Tribolium castaneum: one gene and its partners. Each later gene encodes a partner of the first gene's protein in a complex. Links are inferred from orthologs where the notes say so. Each region holds a gene or a part of one and is shown in the gene's direction. Other genes may lie near its edges. The genes, in order: temp, RabGGTb and Ykt6.

Region 1 (7,839 bases):
GAAAAAACAAAACATTTCGCTTTTTCTTTATAGTAGGCCATGAAAAAATTTTGGATTTTTAATTAAAACTATGAAAATTGTATTACCCAACAAGTATTTACAATTTAGTGGTTTTTTAAACCCTAATTAATTCAAAAACAGCATAATAAATTTTTATTAGATCAAATTTTTGCAATTAATAAAAATTATTTGTTTTTATATTTAAAATGGCAAGCTTACGTTGTCATTCTATTTTTCAATTTTTAACAAGAAATGTCGGAAGAAGAAAAATCTTATTAATTGTATGATTGCGTATCAATAAAATTTTATTTTACAAAAAAATGTCAATCCAAACACCAAAATCAAATTCCATCTGCGGTAAAAAAATACACAACATTATCAACGTCACCTCCATTGCACTAAATCATAAAAAAGTGGCATCAAGTGGTAGTGACACATCGTTTGCAATTTTCTGCACATTTTTTATGCAATTTAAATCTGCGACGCTCTTATATTTGTTCAATTGAAAATAACTTTAACTAATTTTTATAATTTCACATTTTTTACTTTAATAACCGTTCACAAAATTTCTAGATTATTCACACCTTTTATGTGAAATAATTTTTCCATGGCCAACTACTTTCAAATATTTTAAATATATTTTTTATCAAAAATATATCAAAATATCAAACTATATTTATATTGTTTTGAGTTTAGAAAAAAAATAAGCTTTTCGAAAATGTCATAGCCAACTATGATTCTCATAAAAAAAAATACAAGTTTATGTTATTACAGATAAACGAATGATTAAAAAAAATCGCTGATAACATTACTAAATTCTCTGTAAAAAAGTGCCTCTATAATGTTTTTGTTTCAAATGTGTATCTTTTAAAATAAGGAAGATATGAATTTTTTAATATTTCACTAAAATGTCAACTTTTGTTTATAAGTCGAAAACAAAAGACGATACCGAGATGCGGGCCCAAGAATGTGTCGTTTTTCTCTAAAGGATCGTATTTGATTAATTTGATTAAATTATGCACTTGAAACAGGTGCCGATTGACATTGACAGTTCTCTCAGATAATTGTCAAAAAACTAGGTTGCCAACATAATCCAACTAAATTACCCTGGTTTTTAGTGTAATTATTATAGCATTCCGTTGGTTATTACGATACGCAACCGACATAAAAAAAATAATAAAAAAATAAATAATAAATAAAATGATTAAAAAAAATCATTGATTATTTCATTAATTCCTTAGGTCTGGTGGATATCGTGGTCATAAACGAAAACCAGCAGTTCTTCATCGACGACCAGCAGAATTTCAACAACCAAACGGAACAGCCCGAGTTTATTCTCCCAGAATTGTCCCAAAATCAAAACGAAGTTATGACCCCGCAAGGGGTCCTAACCCAGTCAATGCTCTCCTCAGGTGATATAACTTCAACTGATGAGTTAGTTATGGTTCTAACAGACCACGATTATGGCGATAACCAGGAAGAGATAACCAATGATAATTCCAACATTGTGGTTCTGTACAGCCACCCAGTCGATGGGCAACAAGACCAGTTCATAACCTCCCAAGGCAACATCATGGTTAATTCACAAACCGGTCTCATTGAAATCAGAAATGGGGCAACAATTACATCGACGGCGAGTCAAGTGGTCATGAACCCGCCCGAAGCACAGATCGAGTCAATTGAAATGATCCAGAGGGAGATTGAGAGCCACGGTGGCGAACTGAAGGAGGAAGAAAAACCAATTGTTGATGAAGAAAAGGAGAAAGAAGCTGTAGTTCCGCCAAATGATGCCCTCATTGAAAGTTTAACACAAGGGAGCCAACTCGAGTTCACCTCACCTTTGACCATTGAAGAGCCGGAAAAACCGGTTGAAGAACCGAAGGAGACCGAACAAGAAACAAGTGACAAAAAGGAGGAAGAAACGGAACAACCAGAACCTGCTGACAAACAAAATGAACAGTTGGAGGTGAATGAAGAAGAAAAGGGGGGGGAAGAAGAGGTTGCCAAAACGGACGACGTTAAGGAGGAAGAAGAAGAAGAAGAGATTAGTAAAACTGACGAGAGTAAGGAGGAGGAGGAAGAAGAATTGGGGAAAACTGACGACAGTAAGGGGGAAGAAGAGGGAGAGCGGGATGTAGTCCCAGCCCCCACGCCAGAAAAAGGGGAGGAAGAGGTTGAGAAAAATGAGACGGAGGAAACAGCAGTGCAACTGTTGGAAGAGACAAACACGGAAGCTTGTCCTATGGAAATAGAAGAGGAGAAAACAACGCACGAGGAAAATAATACAGTGGAGCAGGAGTTGTCACAAAGTGACACGTCCACTAGTCAGTTTAACGACGAAAATTCCCAGTCTTCGCAAGATTCGCAAAATAAGGATGTAGAAGCGACGAAAATATCCATCTTGGACGATTGGGAAGATACTGATTCGCAACAGTCCGATAATAAGGAAAAGGAAAAGGTTGCGGGGGAAACGGTACATAAATTGATGGACGATTGGGAGGAGGAGGAGGAAGATGATAAGAAAGATAGTGAAGGATGAATTTGTAAATAAGGATTCACTATATTATTAGAGGTCGTTTATTTGTAGGAATTGTCAAGCGTTTTATCAGTTTACTATACTTTATAGTTTTATTTACAATAAATATATTTAAAAGAATATGCGTGTTTCTTTATTTTCGTTTAAAAACATTTGGCGTTTCAGTGGCCCTGATACTAGTTCTGATTTAAATTTTTGGAAAAAAATTTATCACTTTAGGATAATAAATTTTTATCGAGACTTTTATTACGATCCTGGAAAAATGTTATTAGGATTAACAGGAACGTGAAGGTGTTTCGGGTTTTACGCGAGAAAAATTTGAGGTTTCCTCACATTCCTATGATCCTAATACAAAACCGCCATTTTTTTTAAATTTAAATTTTTAGCAAAATTTTTCCACGTTTAACTTGAAAGACCTCTTCGCTTTTCTGTGCTCCTGATACATGTCACAATATTTTTAAAATTTAAATATTTTTTGAAACTTGTATTAGGATCACAGAAACGCGAGGAGGTCCTTTGTCATAGGCGGAAAAAATTTTGCAAAAAATTTAAATTTTTAAAAATGGCGATTTCGTATTAGGATCACAGAAACGCGAAGAGGTGTTTCGGGATTTTCGCGGCAAAAAAATTTTACACCTCCTCGCACTCCTATGATCCTAATACAAAATCGCCATTTTTTTTTTTAACCGAAATGTTTACAAATTTTTTTCGCGTATGACAAAAGACCTCTTCGCGTTTCTGTGATCCTGATGCAAGTCTCGAAAAAAAATTTAATTTTAAAAATATCGAGACTTGTATCAGGATCACAGAAACGCGAGGAGGTCTTTCAAGTTACACGTGGAAAAATTTTACCAAAAATTTACATTTAAAAAAATGGCGATTTTGTATCAGGATCATAGAAATGCGAGGAGGTGTAAAAATTTTCCCGCGTAAAACCTGAAACACCTCTTTGCGTTCCTGTGATCCTAATACCATTTTTCGACAATTTGAAAAATTGCAAAATTACTCTTAAAATCCACAAAACGAAAAATTTGTTTACCTGCTTCTGATACATACCCTGGAAAACCTCCTCACAGATTTATTAAGAAATACACCTAACATTTTTTTACGAGTAATGAAAATAGTAACTGTGTACTTTTGATAATTTGATAGGTTGGTCGGGTTTGTGTAATAAAGAGCCTAATGGTTTTTTAAGTTTATTTTACAATAAATACAGTACAATCACTTAGAACAAAAATCAGAATTGCCAACCGAATCAGTCATTCTGGATCACTCAGTAGCTTCGCTCTGTAGAAATCCTAGAAACTTTTTAGCCGTCATGTTGGTGCGTCCAAAATTCCCAACAGTGTCCTTTTTCTGTAACAAACCACACAATAAATCGGATTTATTAGCAAACCTTCGCCTAAAACTAATGCAAACCGTTTGATATTAAAAATTCCCGTAAATACCCCAATTTTTGCGCAAACGCGTGCCAGTTGCCACCCCTGTCCCCCAAATGTCAATTTGACATTGTTAAAAAAAATCCAAATATTTTTTGATTTCGTTTATCCCGCTCTGAACCACGACCACAACCGAAATGGAAGACGACAATTCCATGTCGCAGCGCATTTTACACACACTGGAAACCATCCTAACCAACGACCCCTTACTGTAAGTCACCTCCCCTAACCGCACTTTCTCCCAACTTGAACTTCCAGCAAAGACTTCATAATAATCCCGTGCGAAAGCAACACAAAAAACAAATCGCCCGTCTTGTACGAAGAACACAACATCGGACTCGAATCATGGTGTGTGAAGCACATCTACCGATACGCTTATCTAGAACTGTTCGAAACACGCAAACTGCTCGCAAAACGCAAACTCTCCTTCTCGAAACAAAACAACCTGAACCGCCTCCTAATCGGAGTTTTATTAATAAACCCCGACGTTTCGACCTTTTGGAACATGAAACGCGAACTGGTCGAAAACGACGTCATTGGCGCCGCCAACGAGCTCCTCTTCGCCAGACTCGTCCTCTCGTACAAGAGCAAATCAAACGAGGCGTTTGCGTACCGCCGCTGGCTCCTGGGGCGCACCTTGGCCAAGCTGCAAGCCAACGACTTGACAACCCCCCGGAATTTGCTCGAAAACGAGCTGGCGGTGTGCGAAATGGGGGCCCAAAAAAACGCCAACAACTACCACGCTTGGAGCCACCGCGTGTGGAGTCTCGAGACTCTGGGGGCCCGCACCGCCAACTTCAACGTGATAATGGACGAGCTTACCTTTAGCGAAAAATGGGTCTCGGGACACGTGTCCGAACACACGGGGTTCCACTACAGACAATACTTGTTCAACACGGTTAGGAAAAGTAGGAACATTACAAGCGTATACGAGTTTTATTTTTGCGAAACCGTCAAACTGTTAGGTTTAGTTGGGGAGAATGACCCAAGAGACATCCTCACCTTCCTGCTAGGGAAGGAGAAATCGCAGGGGAAACCCCTGGAGGAGACGATCAATTTCGTCAATTTCTTCTGTTTGCTACTCTATGACCTGTACAACGTTGTGGAAACGCTAAACTCGCTCTACCCCAACCACGAGTCCATATGGTACCACCGCCGGTTTCTCGTCTACCATTTGGTTAAAACCGCCCATGAGTACCATGGTTTGGCGTTCAAAACCGACGTAAAGCTGGACGAAGTGATTTTGTACGGGACAAATATCGTTAATGTGGACGGGGAAAAGCAACCAAAACTGTTCAAAAGTCAGCCAAATAAAGTGCAGTCGTGTCGCTTGTACCAGACTTTGGTCAAGAACGAAGCTGAATTCATTCGGAAAAATCTCGTACAATCGGCACAATTTCACGAGCTTGAGTTGGCAAGACGGTACGAAAAGTGGCTGAAATTCGTCGTTTGCATGGAAGATGTGTGATCAATGTACAGGGTGCGGCATGGATGTCGAGAGAGTTTAGAGAAAAACGAGTGACACATTCACGGGTCAAAACCGCATCTCGCTATCGTCTTTTGTTTTCGACTTATAAACAAAAGTTTATTTTTTATATCTTCCTTATTATAAAAGATACACATTTGAACCAAAGACGTTTACAGAGAATTTAGTAATGTTATCAGCGATTTTTTTTAATCATTCCTTTAGCTGTAATAACATAAAGTTGTATTTTTTTAAATGAGAATCATAGTTGGCTATGACATTTTCGAAAAGCTTATTTTTTTCTGATTTGATATGTCCATTTGTGTAATACATTAATTTTGAATATTTAAGAAAAAACAAAAAATTTCGCTTTTTCTTTATAGTAGGCCATGAAAAAATTTTGGATTTTTAATTAAAACTATGAAAATTGTATTACCCAACAAGTATTTATAATTTAATGTTTTTTTGAACCCTAATTAATTCAAAAACAGCATAATAAATTTTTATTAGATCAAATTTTTGCAATTAATAAAAATTATTTGTTTTTATATTTAAAATGGCAAGCTTACGTTGTCATTCTATTTTCCAATTTTAAACAAGAAATGTCGGAAGAAGAAAAATCTTATTAATTGTATGATTGCGTATCAATAAAATTTTATTTTACAAAAAAATGTCAATCCAAACACCAAAATCAAATTCCATCTGCGGTAAAAAAATACACAACATTATCAACGTCACCTCCATTGCACTAAATCATAAAAAAGTGGCATCAAGTGGTAGTGAGACATCGTTTGCAATTTTCTGCACATTTTTTATGTAATTAAAATCTGCGACGTTCGTATATTTGTTCAATTGAAAATAACTTTAACTTATTTTTATAATTTCACATTTTTTACTTTAATATCCGGTCACAAAATTTCTAGATTATTTACACCTTTTATGTGAAATAATTTTTCCATGGCCAACTACTTTCAAATATTTTAAATATATTTTTATCAAAAATATATAAAAATATCAAACTGTATTTATATCGTCTTTAGTTCAGAAAAAATAAGCTTTTCGAAAATGTCATAGCCAACTATGATTCCCATTTAAAAAAATACAACTTTATGTTATTACAGTTAAACGAATTTTTGAAAAAAATCGCTGATAACATTACTAAATTCTCCGGAAAAGAGTGCTTGTATAATGTCTTTGTTTCAAACGTGTATCTTTTATAATAAGAAAGATATGATTTTTTTAAGATTTCGCTAAAATGTCAATTTTTGTTTATAAGTCGAAAACAAAAGACGATCGGGAGATGCGGTTTTGACCCGAGAATGTGTCTCTAATTTTTCTCTAACCTCTTAATTTCGGACACCCAAAAAGCAGCACCCTGTACAAACGAACAGTACCTTAAAGTTTATTTGTTTAAGATGCACAAATTTCGGGGAAGTTTCCCGCTAGGGGCGCCCCACACGTGCCAAAATAGGTCAGATAGACAGAGTCACATACAATGTTTCCTTCCGGTAACAATAACTGATCAAAGTGGCCTGTGATTGGCTCGGGCCACTTTGATTCGAAAATTAATACGCGCCATCCAAGTGGCCTAGTCACAACCCAACAAATGTAAAACAAATAAATTACCGTATCTCTGACTCAAAACTGGCCTTTTTTCCCTTCCCCTCACAAAATCCGACTAGCGATATTCCTTTTATAACACGTTAGACTGCACAGCGGTGCATTTGTCCGCGAACAGGAGTATTTTTTCACATTGCCACAGCCCATGCTACACAGTGTGGCTTTCGGGGGCTCTTTGCCCCCCGCCCCCGGCAAGGGCCAGTCCATCCCTTGCGGGAACGACACTGTCGTTAACCCAACATTCTGACGGTACAAAATCATGGGGGTTTGCGCTTTGGTGATTTTGTTTTTCGCCGCTTTGGCCGCCTTCGACTCCTGCTTTTTGAGCAGCCTTTCCATCGTCTTCTTCTTATCCTTTTCGCGCTTTTCGTCCGCCAGTTGTTTGCGTTTCTGCGACTTGATCGCCGCTTTTTGAATCGCTTCGGCCGTCATGACCTTCTCCTAAACCAACAAGTCTAAACTATTTGAATTGAAACAAACTGAATTACTTTATATCCAGTCGGGAGCGACATTAACGTGGGGGTGGTCACAGAGGGGCTCCCGTCCACCTCACGCTCGTACATGGCGCGCTGTCGCGCCGTCATCAAGGCCGGGTCCTTCGGCTTGATTTTCTTCAATTCGTCGTCAACATCCTCAAGCTTCCCGGACTCGATGGCAGTGAGCCACCGTTCCTCGTCACTTGAGGCACTGTCGCGTTTTTTGCGCTTTTTATTACCAGAGGACGATGCGGACGGGGGCTTGTTCACCGGCGACTTGGTTTTAGCACCAGACTCGTCCAC
Region 2 (6,641 bases), on another chromosome or scaffold:
GAATTTTTGCGTTTATTAACTTCAAACGATTTTTTTTAAGAATATACAATATTTTCCTGCTAGTTTCCTGTTAATAAGTCTGCATATTTATTAGTTTATCCTGATTTAAATTTTAATTCGGTTTCTGTAAATCGATCCTGAATCTTTTTTTAATAAAATAAAAATACTTTCTTTAGATATTATTGTAGCTTCGTTTCTTAGAAAAACAAGCTGAATTTTTGTATTTATTAATTTCATACGAATTTTTTTTTAAGAATATACAATATTTTCCTGCTAGTTTCCTGTTAATAAGTCTGGATAGATATTAGTTTATCCTGATTTAAATTTAAATTCGGTTTCTGTAAATCGATCCTGAATCTTTTTTTAATAAAATAAAAATACTTACTTTCTTTAGATATTATTGTAGTTTCATTTCTTAAAAAAAAAAGCTGAATTTTTGTGTTTATTAACTTCATACGATTTTTTTTTAAGAATATACAATATTTTCCTGCTGGTTTCCTGTTAATAAGTCTGGATAGATATATCACATTATATTTAAAATGTGAAAATATTACTAGTATGACTCGTCCTCGTTAACAAACTTGTTAAACAACTACTAATGTTTTCGTATTTTTATTTTCTTCCGTTCGATATATGAAAAAACATTTTACGATATGAAGATCGAAAACTAAAACAATGACAACTTGCTAATTTAAACTTCATTTTTAATTTCAACTAGGTATTTGATTAAAAAAATTAAGTGTCAATCCAGTCAATACAAATATTTGCATTTGATTCCAAACTATGTATTTATCAATAATATAAGCAGACAAATTCCAACATCAGTGAAGATATTCAGAATGCACAATATAAATTTATAATGGAGATAAAATGCGTGAGATATTCGAAGAAAATATGCTAAAGATTCCAGGATTTCAGTCCGGATAAGTATTGAACTTCTTCAAAACACAAAAAATTAACCGTTACATTGGCCAATTTAAAAAATCTCACGCTGTTTTATGACGAAATGTGAAAGAATCAACCGTATGTATAATTACACATTCAAAAATAAACACAATTAAATTTTTAATAGCAAAGTCAAGAGAAACAAACCAGAAACACTTTGAACTAGTTTCTCAAGTTGAATTTTCTTTCATTTTAGCTCGAGTTACACATATTTCAATTAAAATCTCTCGCGTTTATCTCAGCTTGGAGTAAAAAGGCGCAATTCTGCTCTTAATAGATCAAATTGCTTTTGCAACGCTTTAAGATGTTTGCGTTACACTCTTACATTTTTGCAAAACAAAGCAACCTTGTTTCCTTTTCATTACCTCACTCCGACTCTAGTCAGGGATAAAATTAAAAAACCAGCCTCGCTCACACTACTAACACACTTTTGCGAATTTTGAGCGAAGCGGGCCATCGCCGAATATTGACCCTGACTCTCTTCCAGCGAGTCGGGCACCAGAAGACTGAGAATAGATTTAAGGAACTACCACTCGCTGGAGTACTCCGGGTTCGTCCCCTCGCGGAAAAACGCGATCATCATCCACGGCTTCAACGGGACCGAGAGCAAGACCCCCATGACCATCCTGAGAAACGGTAAGGGGAGGAAGTCAGCGCTTTCTTCCGCAAACCGCATGACGCCACGAATTCGGCGTTTTGTTAATTAATTTAAAATTCGGCAGCGTATTTGTCTCGCAACGATTACAACATCTTCACGGTCGACTGGATGCCGCTCGCGAAGTTTCCCTGCTACCTATCGGCCTTATCAAACATGAAGCTAGTCAGTCAGTGTACGGCTAAATTGTACGCTTTCATAATGGAGAACGGAGGCGATGCCCGCGAAACGACCTGCGTCGGCCACTCTCTGGGGGCGCACATCTGCGGCATGATAAGCAACCATCTGGACGTCAAGCAGCACAAGATCGTCGGTAGGTTGCCACAAAAGTTACTTTTTGCGAGCTGAGTTGGGCTTATCCAGGACTGGATCCGGCGCGGCCGCTCATCAATCGATACGGAGACAAGTACTTCAGACTCACCAAAGACGATGCCCACCAAGTACAAGTCATTCATACCAATGCGGGGGTCCTGGGGGAGGTCAATCAAGTGGGCCATATTGATTTCTGCGTCAACGGGGGGCAGATGCAGCCGGGGTGCAAGGGGCACATTTTACGTAAGTATTTGGAGCAATTAATTTATCAAAGTCCGGGGCATTATCTGTGCGATATTTTTTAAACGCTGACATGACTTATGGCTTCGGTCGGCTTTCTTCGCTGCAGTAAATGCAGTAATAATGACCCAGTTGTTAAAGATAAACGAACGGAGGCAATAATTAATCTGATTTGTGAAATCGGTGAGAATTTTAATTATTGTACTTTAATCGATTTTGATAGTTGCATGTCTACAATTAAAAAAGATACGGGTAATAGCTAAAGCGTGTCCTGGGAATTTCTTCGTAAATTTTTATCAAAATTTTTATATTTAAAATGAGGTAATAATAAGAAATTAAAGCGGCACCCAATCAAAAAATCGTCTGCAGCGAATATTATATCTGGTAAAAATTTCATCAAAATGGCTTATGAGATCTCAAAATCTCCTAAAATACACAAAACGTGAGGCTAACTTGACTTGTGTAATAGCTGTAGGAATTTCAGGCAACAAACCTTCAAGGGACTCGTTTTTTTTCGTAGTCTCCTCCTCGATGCCCAATTAATTAACATTTTAATTATCAATTATACCAACGCAAACTCGAGTTAGAGGGGAATTCGCGTTTTAAATAACCCTTCAAAACAAAGTTTGTTAATTAAAAACTCTGTTTGAAGAGACGACACTGTCAACTTTTTCATGACAAAAAAGCTGTAAGAAGAGGAAAAAATGAAATATCAATCTGACAGGCATGGTTGATATTAGCGAGGAAAATTAATTGTGTAAGAGGTGGCTTTAGCGTGTTGGTGGAAAATTTTTCCTGCTCTTCACACTTTCACGCAATTTTGCCATTTTTCAGCACCTACAATTGGAACGAATTAATTTGCATTATTTAACTGACAACGAATTTTAAACAAGTGAAAAAACACGCTGGAACCTTTGCTTTGAGGGACAATAAAAAGCCAACATGTTTCGGTGTTTTTGTTGGAAAAGTGGAAAACATGGACGAGGATAGGGATGCATAAAATTTGCGAAATCAATAAAAAGAAACGCAGAAAACTCGTCTGAATTCGTGTTATTTATTTCGTTATATCTAAAGTAATCGCCAGTTGTTTCCATTATCACCACTGAGAGAAAAAAACTAAAAAATTCCCATAAATGGAAATTTTTGAAACGAAACGAAAAACAGTGAAACCTGTACTATTATTACTTTCGTCTTCGCAATAATCGATTAATCTGACCGCATTTATGATTGAATGCTACCTTGGTAATCAAACTACTGGTTACTTTCACCGTTTGACTAGCAATGAGGTTTTCAAAACGGGCGGCAAAAATTTTGAACTTTTTCAAACTGTCAGTGTTGCCAAGCCACCGACCCCAACACGCCACTTGTCATCTTGACAGCAAATATTGTGGTTATGTTTGACAATGGCAACACCAATAAAAGACGTGATTTTGAAAGAAAATGCGCCAGTTACGATACTTTTCGACAAACACATCGAATTCCTGCGGGACTACGGCAAAGACGACAACAATTTCGAGTTCGGTATGACGGACTACCTCCGCGTTTCCGGCATGTACTGGGGCTTAACAGCGCTGGAGCTCCTCGACCAGACACATTCCTCGCCTCAGGAAGAGATCGTCACTTATATCAAAAACTGCCAAGACCCGGAAACGGGCGGAATCAGTGCGTGCTTGGGGCACGACCCACATTTGCTCCACACTTTGAGCGGCGTTCAGATTTTAGCAATGTACGACCGATTGGACGCAATTGATGTCGAGGCTGTTGTGAAATACGTCAAGTCGTTGCAACAACCCGACGGAAGTTTTACGGGAGACAAATGGGGCGAAGTTGATACGAGGTTTTCGTTTTGTGCGGTGGCCACCTTGTCTCTGCTCAAGAGACTGGACGCTGTTGACGTCGACAACGCCGTGAAATTTGTCGAGTCTTGTATGAATTTCGACGGAGGGTTCGGCTCGCGGCCGCTGTCGGAGAGCCACGCGGGGTTGATTTACTGTTGTCTGGGGTTTTTGTCAATAACCCACCGTCTTGACTTGGTGAAGAGGGACGTTCTAGCGTGGTGGCTGTGCGAGAGACAGCTACCGTCGGGGGGCCTCAACGGCCGGCCGGAGAAGCTCCCCGACGTTTGCTACTCGTGGTGGGTTTTGTCCTCCTTGACTATTTTGGGGCGACTTCATTGGATAAGTGGCGAGAAATTAAAAAAATTCATTCTGGCGTGTCAAGACACCGAAACTGGGGGCTTCGCAGACCGGCCTGGCGACGTGCCTGACCCTTATCACACTGTTTTCGGCCTTGCGGCCCTATCGCTGCTCGGCCAAGCCGAAATCAAAAACGTCAATCCCACTTACTGTATGCCGCAACACGTTATTGATAGCATGCAACTATCGCCTCAAATATTACGTGATTAAAATTGATAGATCCAACCTTATATGCTAATTTTGATAAGTTTTAGCCCGCACGTGATTTTAATGTATATTGGTTTAATTTTATAATGATAATAAAGCCGATTTCTAAGTGATTTGTGTTTTGTTTGGACTGCGGTCCGCATAATTGATTTTGATGATTTAGGTCGAGCCCGGTGTAGCCATTTTCAAAGTGCCTGCTTTTTCTCCACAACTATACGGAAAACGAACGCGCATTTAGGGCGGCCGTGTGTCACCACCTGCCCCAAGAAGTCCTCAAATTGGGGGTACTTGCCCGGGAAGCCGGTCCCCATGGGAGAAGACACACCGTTTGGGTGGGTATTCAAGTCTTACTCATTATCACTGCTTTCAAATTAAAACTAGAGTCTCAATAACTTTTGATATTGAGTAAATATTACTTCAAACAAAAACAGCTCAATTAGTTTAGTTATTTATTTAGTAAATTTTTAAATCCCCTTAATTTTTTGAAACATTTTTGAATAGTTGGCGCTTTGTTTTCAAATCAAGGTTGATTTTTGAGTTTTGATCCCAGTAGCCCCCAATTTTATACAAATTTAATAAAAAAAATGAAATATGATGATTCCAAGGTAGTGTAAACTCGTTTAAACTACTTTTTTAAACGTGGAAAAAACTATTTATCCGTAGTAAAATAAGCTTTGTCGATGCGTACATAAGCTAGGGATGTTTTATTTTAAGAAACATCTGAATGTATCGAAAAAACATGTCGTTTAAGGTGTTCTGGTAACTTTTTGCTTTTACGGAAAGATAACGTTTTCCCACCCCGTCAAAATGGTTCAAAAAGTAGGTGATGCAGCGTAAGGTGTAATTAATTTTCGTTTTGAACTAATCAATCCTAAAATCGACGTGTTGAGGAAAATATAATTTCCCACAAGAGTAGTATTTGTTTTCAGCACTCCCTCCACTCGTGCTGTATAGATTGTAAATATAGGAAATTGCTTACAATGAATAACTCAAAAAATAAACAAATAAAATTTCCTTTTTTTCGCTGATGGAATAATAACAGATTAAACTAGTGCACTAAAATTTCCAAATGTCATTTCTCGTAAAAAATCATCGTATCTTGACGATGGGACACCATATAATAAACGTCCCTAGACCTTATAGCAAAGCAAAAAAAAACTGTGAAGTAAGGGAAATAAGTATGACATAAAAGTTATGGACACAAAAAAATATTTACTCAATACCAAAAATTATTGAGACTGGCTAGTCTTGAAATGAAAGCACTGTACGATATTTTTTGCAGGATCAAAGGAATGTTTTGCGTGGATACTCACTCAAATTCCGACTGTCCGTTCGAATAATATTTTTTAATCATTTAATATAAAAATACAAAAACAAGGAACTAGAATTATTCATTTTTTTCAACAATATCGTCAAGGCACTCTTTCAGTTTTTTGAACTTCTTTTTAAATTCGATACCACAGCCCTTTGATAGGCGGAAATCCACTAGAATTTTCCCCTGTATTTCGATGACGTTCGTCTTAAACATGAGTTGATTTTTCATAATATCAACAGTTGAAATCGTGACCTGAAACCCCGACTTATTAAAGCCCCAAACGAAACTGCCAAACTTACAGCTCCGTTGCCATCAATCTGCCAATTATAATGAAAAGTATCTAGAACAGAGCACAAAACTTCCAAAGTTTTCTCGTAATTAGTGGTAACATAAAATCTCGTCATTCTCTTAACTAGATTATTAAAGTTATCTTTGGTGAGTGGAGTCTCATTGAATTGAATTTGGGAGCTCAGAAGCATATCGTCGTTATGAGTGGGCTGCGAGAAGCACACAAGTTCGCGGTTTGTCCTGAGATCAGTCACCAGCTGGTCTATAGACGGCGGACGCACGGCTGGAGTCGGCTGAGACAATATCACAATCGGATTGGTGCGATGCACGCGAGTTTCAGTCTCCATCATCGAATTGAAACGCTTAACGGGATTCAAATTGGAATCGTCCACGACATCGGTTTTTTCTAAACAAATAAAACCATCAAACAATGAACGTCTTCTTATTCCAACTCCAATCTCCACGACGCAATGCCAACCGCATT
Region 3 (6,544 bases), on another chromosome or scaffold:
GGGTTAGGGTGTATTATGCTCTCTTCTGAAGTGTTAAATTTTAACTTTAATGTTTTTTGTGTGCTTTCCTGCTCTTCTAGAGCGCTATTAATTATTATTGAACATGTTTAAGGACAGACAAATCTACCTTGAGTCAACGACATAAATTTCAGTGAGATTTATTGAAAAATGCACTTCTCGTGTCAACCTTTTCATGAAAAAGGGTGTTTAAACGTTTATAAAGGGTATGTTAACGTGTGTTGTTAACTTTACCACGTAATAAAACATAAAGTATAACTTGGTAATTTTTTACTTTAACTACTTCTGGATTTTCAAGCTGAAACTTACACCAAACGATTCCTCTGAGTGCCCTGATGACCGTACACTATGAATTTTCTTGTGCAAATTGAAAATAACATTAGAAAAATAATTTTTATTTTCACTCACTTTTTACTTGAATCGCCATTTTTGTTGATTTTAATTTGAGTTTATTTTTTATAATATCACGTTAATTTTTATTATTATAGTGGATCAAGGTGTCGTCTTTAGGTTAGACTATTGCCTACTATCGGTTAGGAACAACATGATCTCCAAAAATATAACGTAGTAATGAGCTCCAGAAGGTTTACGTAGATAGGTGCGTTTTTCCCAAAAGTGAGTTTTTTGAGATCGAACCGCAAGTGAGTCACACTGCGAGGAGACTCCCATAGACAGAAGTTGCAAACATAAGGTGCCAGACCGGTGCCAGTTTGGCTGATTGCAAGTATGTCTTTATTTTATCATCGATTCGGTGACCACTATTAGTTTCGTAAACTTAATGGATTTAATAAATATCTTTAACATTAAATGTGATCGTGTCATGTTGGGTAAAATTCTTCCATCTGTGCTGTCTGTGCATCCACCTTTTCAAATACAATTAAGAAATTTTCATAATAATTGTATTTGATAAGGTATTGACATCATTTTGACGTGAGCAAAAATTAAAAAAATATAAAGTAATCGGAATTATTTTAAATTCGCGCCATTTTTAGTACGTGATGATGCGGCTAGATGGCTTCAGCTAGGAATTCATTGCCAACCATTATGTTCCGCTTCTATAAAAGTGTTATCCTAGGGATGACATCCTTGGCACGCTTGGCACCAACACAACAAAATGAAACATCCCAAGCAATTTCAAAAATTTATTTGTAAGAATTCGCCTTATGTTTGGGTAAAAACTGGAAATTTTCGGGCACAGGCCCTAGGAGCATTTCGCTGATTTTGACCCAATCGCTGGCCGACGTGGACGCCATTAACGTCTCAAGGTCGTCCCGCCCTTGGTAGAAAGGGGGCCGCTCGTTGATTTTCTGGGGCGGTTTTTCCAACAAACCCACCGGAACATATCTGTGCAAAAACGACAACCACTCCAATAAAAAGCGTCTCGTGTTTTCCACCCCTTTATTGTCAGAACCCCAATGTTCCAAGCCGTAATTTGTGTACTTTTTCAAAAGATCGAAACGTTCAGAACTGCTAATGTCCCACAATTTTTGTTCCTTAATTTCGGTGAAAATCCAGGGCTTGATGAGGGCCCCCCGCCCGATCATGACCCCCGCCAATTCGGGGCACGTCTCACGTGCTATTTTGTAGTCTTCGTAACTCAAAACATCGCCATTGCCTAGAACCGGCAAAGGGGCTGCCGCCTGGGCCACCTGTCTGATGTAGGTCCAGTCGGCGAGTTTGGTGTAACGCTGCTCACGCGAGCGTCCATGAATTGTGATAAGGCTAGCCCCCCAGTCGCGGAATTTCGGGGCCTACGAACCAAATAAAACGTAGAAAAAATGTATCCAACTCGTGAGTAAAGTATCTCTTTTTAGCTCGTTAAAAAAGTGTTACTTTACGCACTTGTTGCATAATTATTTATTTACCAAAATATGCGCCAAATTTTCGTTACTATAAACCCCAGTTCGGGTCTTGACAGTCATTGGAATTGTCAGTAACTGGCTGAGATTTTTAATACAGGACTCCAAAACTCTTTGGCGTCTTAACAACCCACAACCGCCCCCTTCTTTATACACTAATTCAATCGGACACCCTAGATTTAGATCGATAAAGTCAATTTCGGCCTCTTGTTGCAACACTTGGCCGCACTTGGTCAACAAATGCGGGTTGTTTGCGCACAATTGAACCCCGAAAATGTCCTCACTGTGGTGGCGCTTCACCAAGGCCCACTCCTGAGGGGCCCCTTGCAGAAGCGAAGAACACATTGCCATTTCACCGCAGGTTACATCAGCCCCGAATTCTTTACAAATTCGTCTGAACGGTAAATTGCCAACTGTTGTTAAAGGGCTCAAGACTAGTTTGTCCCTCCAGTCGATTTTTTTTTTTTTCTCGTTGAGTCAATTTAATCAAGTCTTCATCACTAATGGCCCCACTTGTTTTATTATCGTCCTAAACACCCAAATTTAAATAAAACGAGTAAAAGTAGTACAAAATAATTACACTTTTCTTATTGTCATTGAATTTAATTAAACTCTCGGCGAAGTCAAAATTATACGTCCGTTTGCGTAACGCGACTTGTAGTTCGTGCGTTAACTGATTTTTTGCTTGCGCTGTTTCTACCAATTTTTCCGAATTGATTTTATTTCGGCCTTGGTCAATGTGACTAGAACCAAACCTACAAGCCAGACCTCTGCCACACCGTCCGAAAGTTTCATAATTGTAACAAATCTCTCCTAAAACCAAGAATTAAGCCCAAATTAATGCACAAGCACAAATAAACCGATATCTTTTGGCTTGATTTTCAAATATTCGTCAACGTCGTGCAAAAACTGGCAATTTTTGCGTTCACATTTCGGCGCCTTTTCGCCAATACTTAAGTTAATCAAAGTGTTACATAATTCCGTCTCTCGGGTGCACCTAAAAGTAGGACCGCGCGATTTATTCTGACCCCGTAATTTTTTCTTTTCGCTTTTTGATAATTTGGGTTTTTTTTCGGGCGGTGTCTCATCGTTTTCGGCCAATTTGCGTTTGTCTTTATCAGAAACGCACTCTAATGCCAATTCTCTTGGACGTTCTGTGAGAATAAATCTAAAATAAGGGTGAAATGTGGGGTTATATCACGTGGGAAAATGAGCAGTCTTACTCGGGCTTGATTTTGCAAATGCCGCTGTCCCCCATATTACCCTACTTGCGGTGTTAATAGAAATTAGACGTGTTGGTCAAGCATTAATTAAAATCTTTAATTATTTAAAACTTTTATCAAAATTGACAGCAGTAATGGTTGTTGGTAACCGTGTATGGTTTTGGTTACCAAAATTTTGGAAAATACAAGTTATAAAAACGGGACAAATCAGTTCAAAGCGAAAATCACGGGTGCTGTTATTTGTAATTTATTCTCTTATATGATTCCGTTTTTAATTATTATCCTATTCAATTAAAATAGGAAAATAGGAAGGTTGGTTGACCTGGCTCAACGTCATCCGTCAGTCAAAAATTATCACCTGTCAAATTTTATTATTCGTTCGTGTTTATTGGCAAATTATGTTTGTTTAATTGCTTTGGCGTAAATCCTATTCGTGATTTAACTTTTAGAAAGCTCAAGAAATGTGTACGATGGCATGTCTTATATAATTCCGTTCTAATTCCCGAAAAATCGTTAAATATGGTCAAGTTATACTGTATTAGTGTTTTGTATAAAGGACCTACGAGTGCAACATGGTTAAAATCAGCCTTTGACCTACAAAGTTTCAGTTTTTTTCAACGGGGATCAGTGGAAGAATTCATGACTTTTTTTTGTAAAACAATCGTCGAGAGAACAATACCAGCGTCACGACAGTCCGTAAAGGAAGGAGGTTTTTTCCACAAGCATTTATTTACACAAATAATGTAACACTTTTTCAGAGTATATGTGTCACGTTTATGTGAGATCCGATAATTTAGCCGGCGTTGTTATATCAGATCACGAGTACCCAACACGGGTCTCACACACTTTAATTACAAAGATTTTGGACGAATTTAGCCAAAAAATCCCGGCTTCAAGTTGGCCCAATTTAACAGAACGCGAAGTGGCGTTTCCGCAACTCAACACTTACTTATCCAAATACCAAAATCCGCGCGAAGCTGACGCTATGACTAAAATTCAAGAGGATCTCGATGAGACTAAAATAATTCTAGTAAGTGGTTGTGTCAAATGACAATTTCCACAACTAATTTTCCAGCATCACGCAATTGAAAGTGTGCTTCAACGCGGCGAAAAGCTGGACGATTTGGTGTCAAAGTCGGAAGGTTTAAGTATACAGTCAAAGGCGTTTTACAAAACGGCTCGCAAAACCAACAGCTGTTGCACGTTTAGTTAAATCATTCCTTATTTACCCCAATTATTTAACAGCCTGGAAGTTTGGATGTTCATATATTATTCCTACTAATAACCGTTAAATGTTGAATGTATATTTACGACAATAAATGTAATGACCGGATTTTTACAAACCAATTTATTAACCTTCAAAAATACTAAACATAATACGTTATAAAACATTACACTGGGGGGTTATCGAAATAATCCACGGTCTCTCCTGATGGCGTTCCCCTCTGCCCCCTTCCAGGCAATTTCAAGGCAACGGTCTCCGACTTCCCCAACGTCCCTTTGCTCAGAACCGGCCCTGGAACCTTCCTCTGCCCATTTTCCCTCTGAATAAACTCCAATAGACTCATACTCGGCAACCACGACTTGTCCTTAAAGGCAGTTGCAACGATATTTCGGTTGGGTTCCGCATCGTAGGCGGCGCTTTCACACCCAAAATGCTCACAATACTCGTGCACGAAATGTCTCTTATCTCTGTTCATTGACTCAAAAGAATACGAACGACTCTTTTGTTTACTCTGCTTAGCCAATTGGACCAACTCGGTGAGCTTTTCGTGCACTTTTTGGCAAAACTGCGGGTCTTTTTTCGCCCAATTTCGCATAAAATCGGAGTAACGAGGAGTCAGTTTTTGACTCAAATCCGGGTTGCGAATCTGCAGACCGATAGCCAGCCGCCGGTTGCGCTCCAGAACCCGACACTCTTCGGTGCACTCCAATCTGGAAAACAAAAAAAATTTTTTTTTATTATCTACGAACTTTTTTTTGAAATAATTACAATAAATGCAAAAATATCTATTTACATTTTCAAAACCGACGGCCTTTTGGCTTTGTTGATATCGCTGATGTCCACAGCTTGATCCTTCAACAAATCGGCCATTTTGTCCTTCAAATGCGCCATTTCGATCTCCTTATACGCCTCAGCCAACTCGATGCAAGGCCTTGTTGCTTTCTGCAAGCCACAGGGGCACGTGACCGGCACCATTTGCCTACAGGGCGTGTCAGGACACGGCCCTTCGTGACACGTGACCCCGCACGGATGCCCGCATTGGACTCTCTTCACGTTACATTTCTGTTTGCATGGCAACGTACACGCCCCCAAATGACACGCCTTGTCACACTTATGTGCCCCACACGGCATGGCCTTCCCACACGGTAATCCACAACTGAAATCCTCCTGATAACAGGGAATAGCCGATCTCTGCTCGTGTTTGCCGTAACACCACCTCTTGCACAAAACGGTACACGGTGGACACGCCCCTGTGTGGCACGCATGATTGGCTTCGTGGCCACATGGGCGTGGCCTGGAACATGGATTATTGCAAGGGGGCGGTTTTGTGCCGCATGGAATGGGCGGGTATAAGACGTTAGCTCCGCATTCGCAATACAATTCGTCGAAACTTGTTTCCACGCAAGGTGGGCACCGCCCACTGTGACACGTCCTCTCGCAACGGTGTTGGCCACAAGCGAGCATGTGATTGCATGGGAGGGGACAAATGTGTTCGATTTCGATGCAACAACGTTGATTGCATCGGTGTTTGCCACAGAGGCGTTTCTTGGTACATTTTTTCTCACATCGGGCATCGTCGGCTTTCGTCGTTACTTGTCCGCAGGGGATTTCCCGGTCCATGTGACCGCAACGACAACGAATCAAGGTCGTAAGGGGGCATGGGGGGCACGGACCCTCGTGACATGGAAGTTTGCAGGAGTGGGGGGCTGCCGGTTGCCCACAATTTAGGATTTTCCCACAAATCTATAACAATTTATTAAATTAATCAAAAACATAATTTAATTCAATCATACTAACTTTATCACAGCACGGTATAGGATCCAGACATGATTCTCTTCTCTTCTTCAATTCGCTCCTCCCACAAGGACACGTCTTAACCACCCCCACATCTCTCGGACACGCCTCACAATCCCCCTCGTGACACACTTTAGTGCACGTGTGATTCCCACAACTCAAGCCCCGCCCACAAACCTCCCCACACGAATAATTCACCGCTCCTTTAAACTCCTCCCTACATTTCACTTTACGCCCCACCTTCTCACAATAACAAATCTGTCTCAACTCTCTATCGCATTCCATACATGGCCCCACGTGGCACTTCGCCCCGCATTCGTGGACCCCACATGAGAGTTTTTTTCCACAGATAGCGCCACAAACAATTTCGGTATCAGCGCTACATTTGACTGTTTGTGTGGTGGCCCCACAACCGCAGGGCTTTG

Evidence for each region.
Region 2: the proteins of temp (region 1) and RabGGTb are in contact, whole or in part, in a crystal structure (PDB 6O60), measured with the Homo sapiens proteins. The link is inferred for Tribolium castaneum from reciprocal best matches to the Homo sapiens genes PTAR1 and RABGGTB. Residues at the interface, in NP_001093136.1 of Homo sapiens: Val61, Lys62, Leu65, Pro66, His69, Leu73, Arg76, Leu97, Asn98, Asp100, Phe101, Thr102, Thr103, Asn106, Lys109, Glu110, Leu113, Ile141, Arg144, Trp145, Pro192, Ser193, Tyr195, Ser199, Ile202, Trp203, Gln206, Val231, Ser232, His234; in NP_004573.2 of Homo sapiens: Lys6, Asp36, Tyr37, Cys40, Met41, Glu43, Tyr44, Ile89, Gly90, His91, Asp92, Asp136, Trp138, Glu140, Phe177, Asp178, Gly182, Cys183, Arg184, Pro185, Gly186, Ser187, Glu188, Ser189, His190, Gln193, Trp217, Glu221, Arg222, Pro225.
Region 3: the proteins of temp (region 1) and Ykt6 are in contact, whole or in part, in a crystal structure (PDB 6J7F), measured with the Homo sapiens proteins. The link is inferred for Tribolium castaneum from reciprocal best matches to the Homo sapiens genes PTAR1 and YKT6. Residues at the interface, in NP_001093136.1 of Homo sapiens: Glu31, Gly33, Leu34, Ile35, Pro36, Val48, Val50, Glu51, Lys53, Leu54, Gly55, Ser58, Lys135, Tyr191, His225, Ser228, Met229, His230, Val231, Ser232, Asp233, Phe298, Asp301, Leu302, Ser305, Tyr306, His309; in NP_006546.1 of Homo sapiens: Met1, Ser29, Phe30, Phe31, Asn83, Glu84, Pro86, Gln131, Asn132, Pro133, Arg134, Gln180, Phe184, Arg189, Ser193.

The regions. Positions count from the first base shown.
Region 1 is NC_087400.1:984,622-992,460, forward strand, and holds temp (protein prenyltransferase alpha subunit repeat-containing protein 1-B), read left to right. Parts: upstream 1-3,892; 5' UTR 3,893-4,112; coding exon 4,113-4,186; intron 4,187-4,233; coding exon 4,234-5,443; 3' UTR 5,444-7,084; downstream 7,085-7,839. Other genes in the region: centrosome-associated zinc finger protein Cp190, read left to right, coding at 1,242-2,539; uncharacterized protein LOC135266778, read right to left, coding at 3,806-3,892; INO80 complex subunit B, read right to left, coding at 7,106-7,501, 7,549-7,839.
Region 2 is NC_087395.1:14,837,933-14,844,573, reverse strand, and holds RabGGTb (geranylgeranyl transferase type-2 subunit beta), read left to right. Parts: upstream 1-3,497; 5' UTR 3,498-3,555; coding exon 3,556-4,557; 3' UTR 4,558-4,667; downstream 4,668-6,641. Other genes in the region: lipase member H-A, read left to right, coding at 1,433-1,581, 1,668-1,913, 1,964-2,155, 4,718-4,886, 5,837-5,894; serine/threonine-protein kinase grp, read right to left, coding at 5,942-6,121, 6,169-6,563. UniProt on the Homo sapiens protein: Catalyzes the transfer of a geranylgeranyl moiety from geranylgeranyl diphosphate to both cysteines of Rab proteins with the C-terminal sequence -XXCC, -XCXC and -CCXX, such as RAB1A, RAB3A, RAB5A and RAB7A.
Region 3 is NC_087398.1:3,639,665-3,646,208, forward strand, and holds Ykt6 (synaptobrevin homolog YKT6), read left to right. Parts: upstream 1-3,468; 5' UTR 3,469-3,619; coding exon 3,620-3,809; intron 3,810-3,858; coding exon 3,859-4,130; intron 4,131-4,175; coding exon 4,176-4,313; 3' UTR 4,314-4,433; downstream 4,434-6,544. Other genes in the region: stc (protein shuttle craft), read right to left, coding at 4,492-5,035, 5,119-6,068, 6,123-6,544. UniProt on the Homo sapiens protein: Vesicular soluble NSF attachment protein receptor (v-SNARE) mediating vesicle docking and fusion to a specific acceptor cellular compartment. Functions in endoplasmic reticulum to Golgi transport; as part of a SNARE complex composed of GOSR1, GOSR2 and STX5.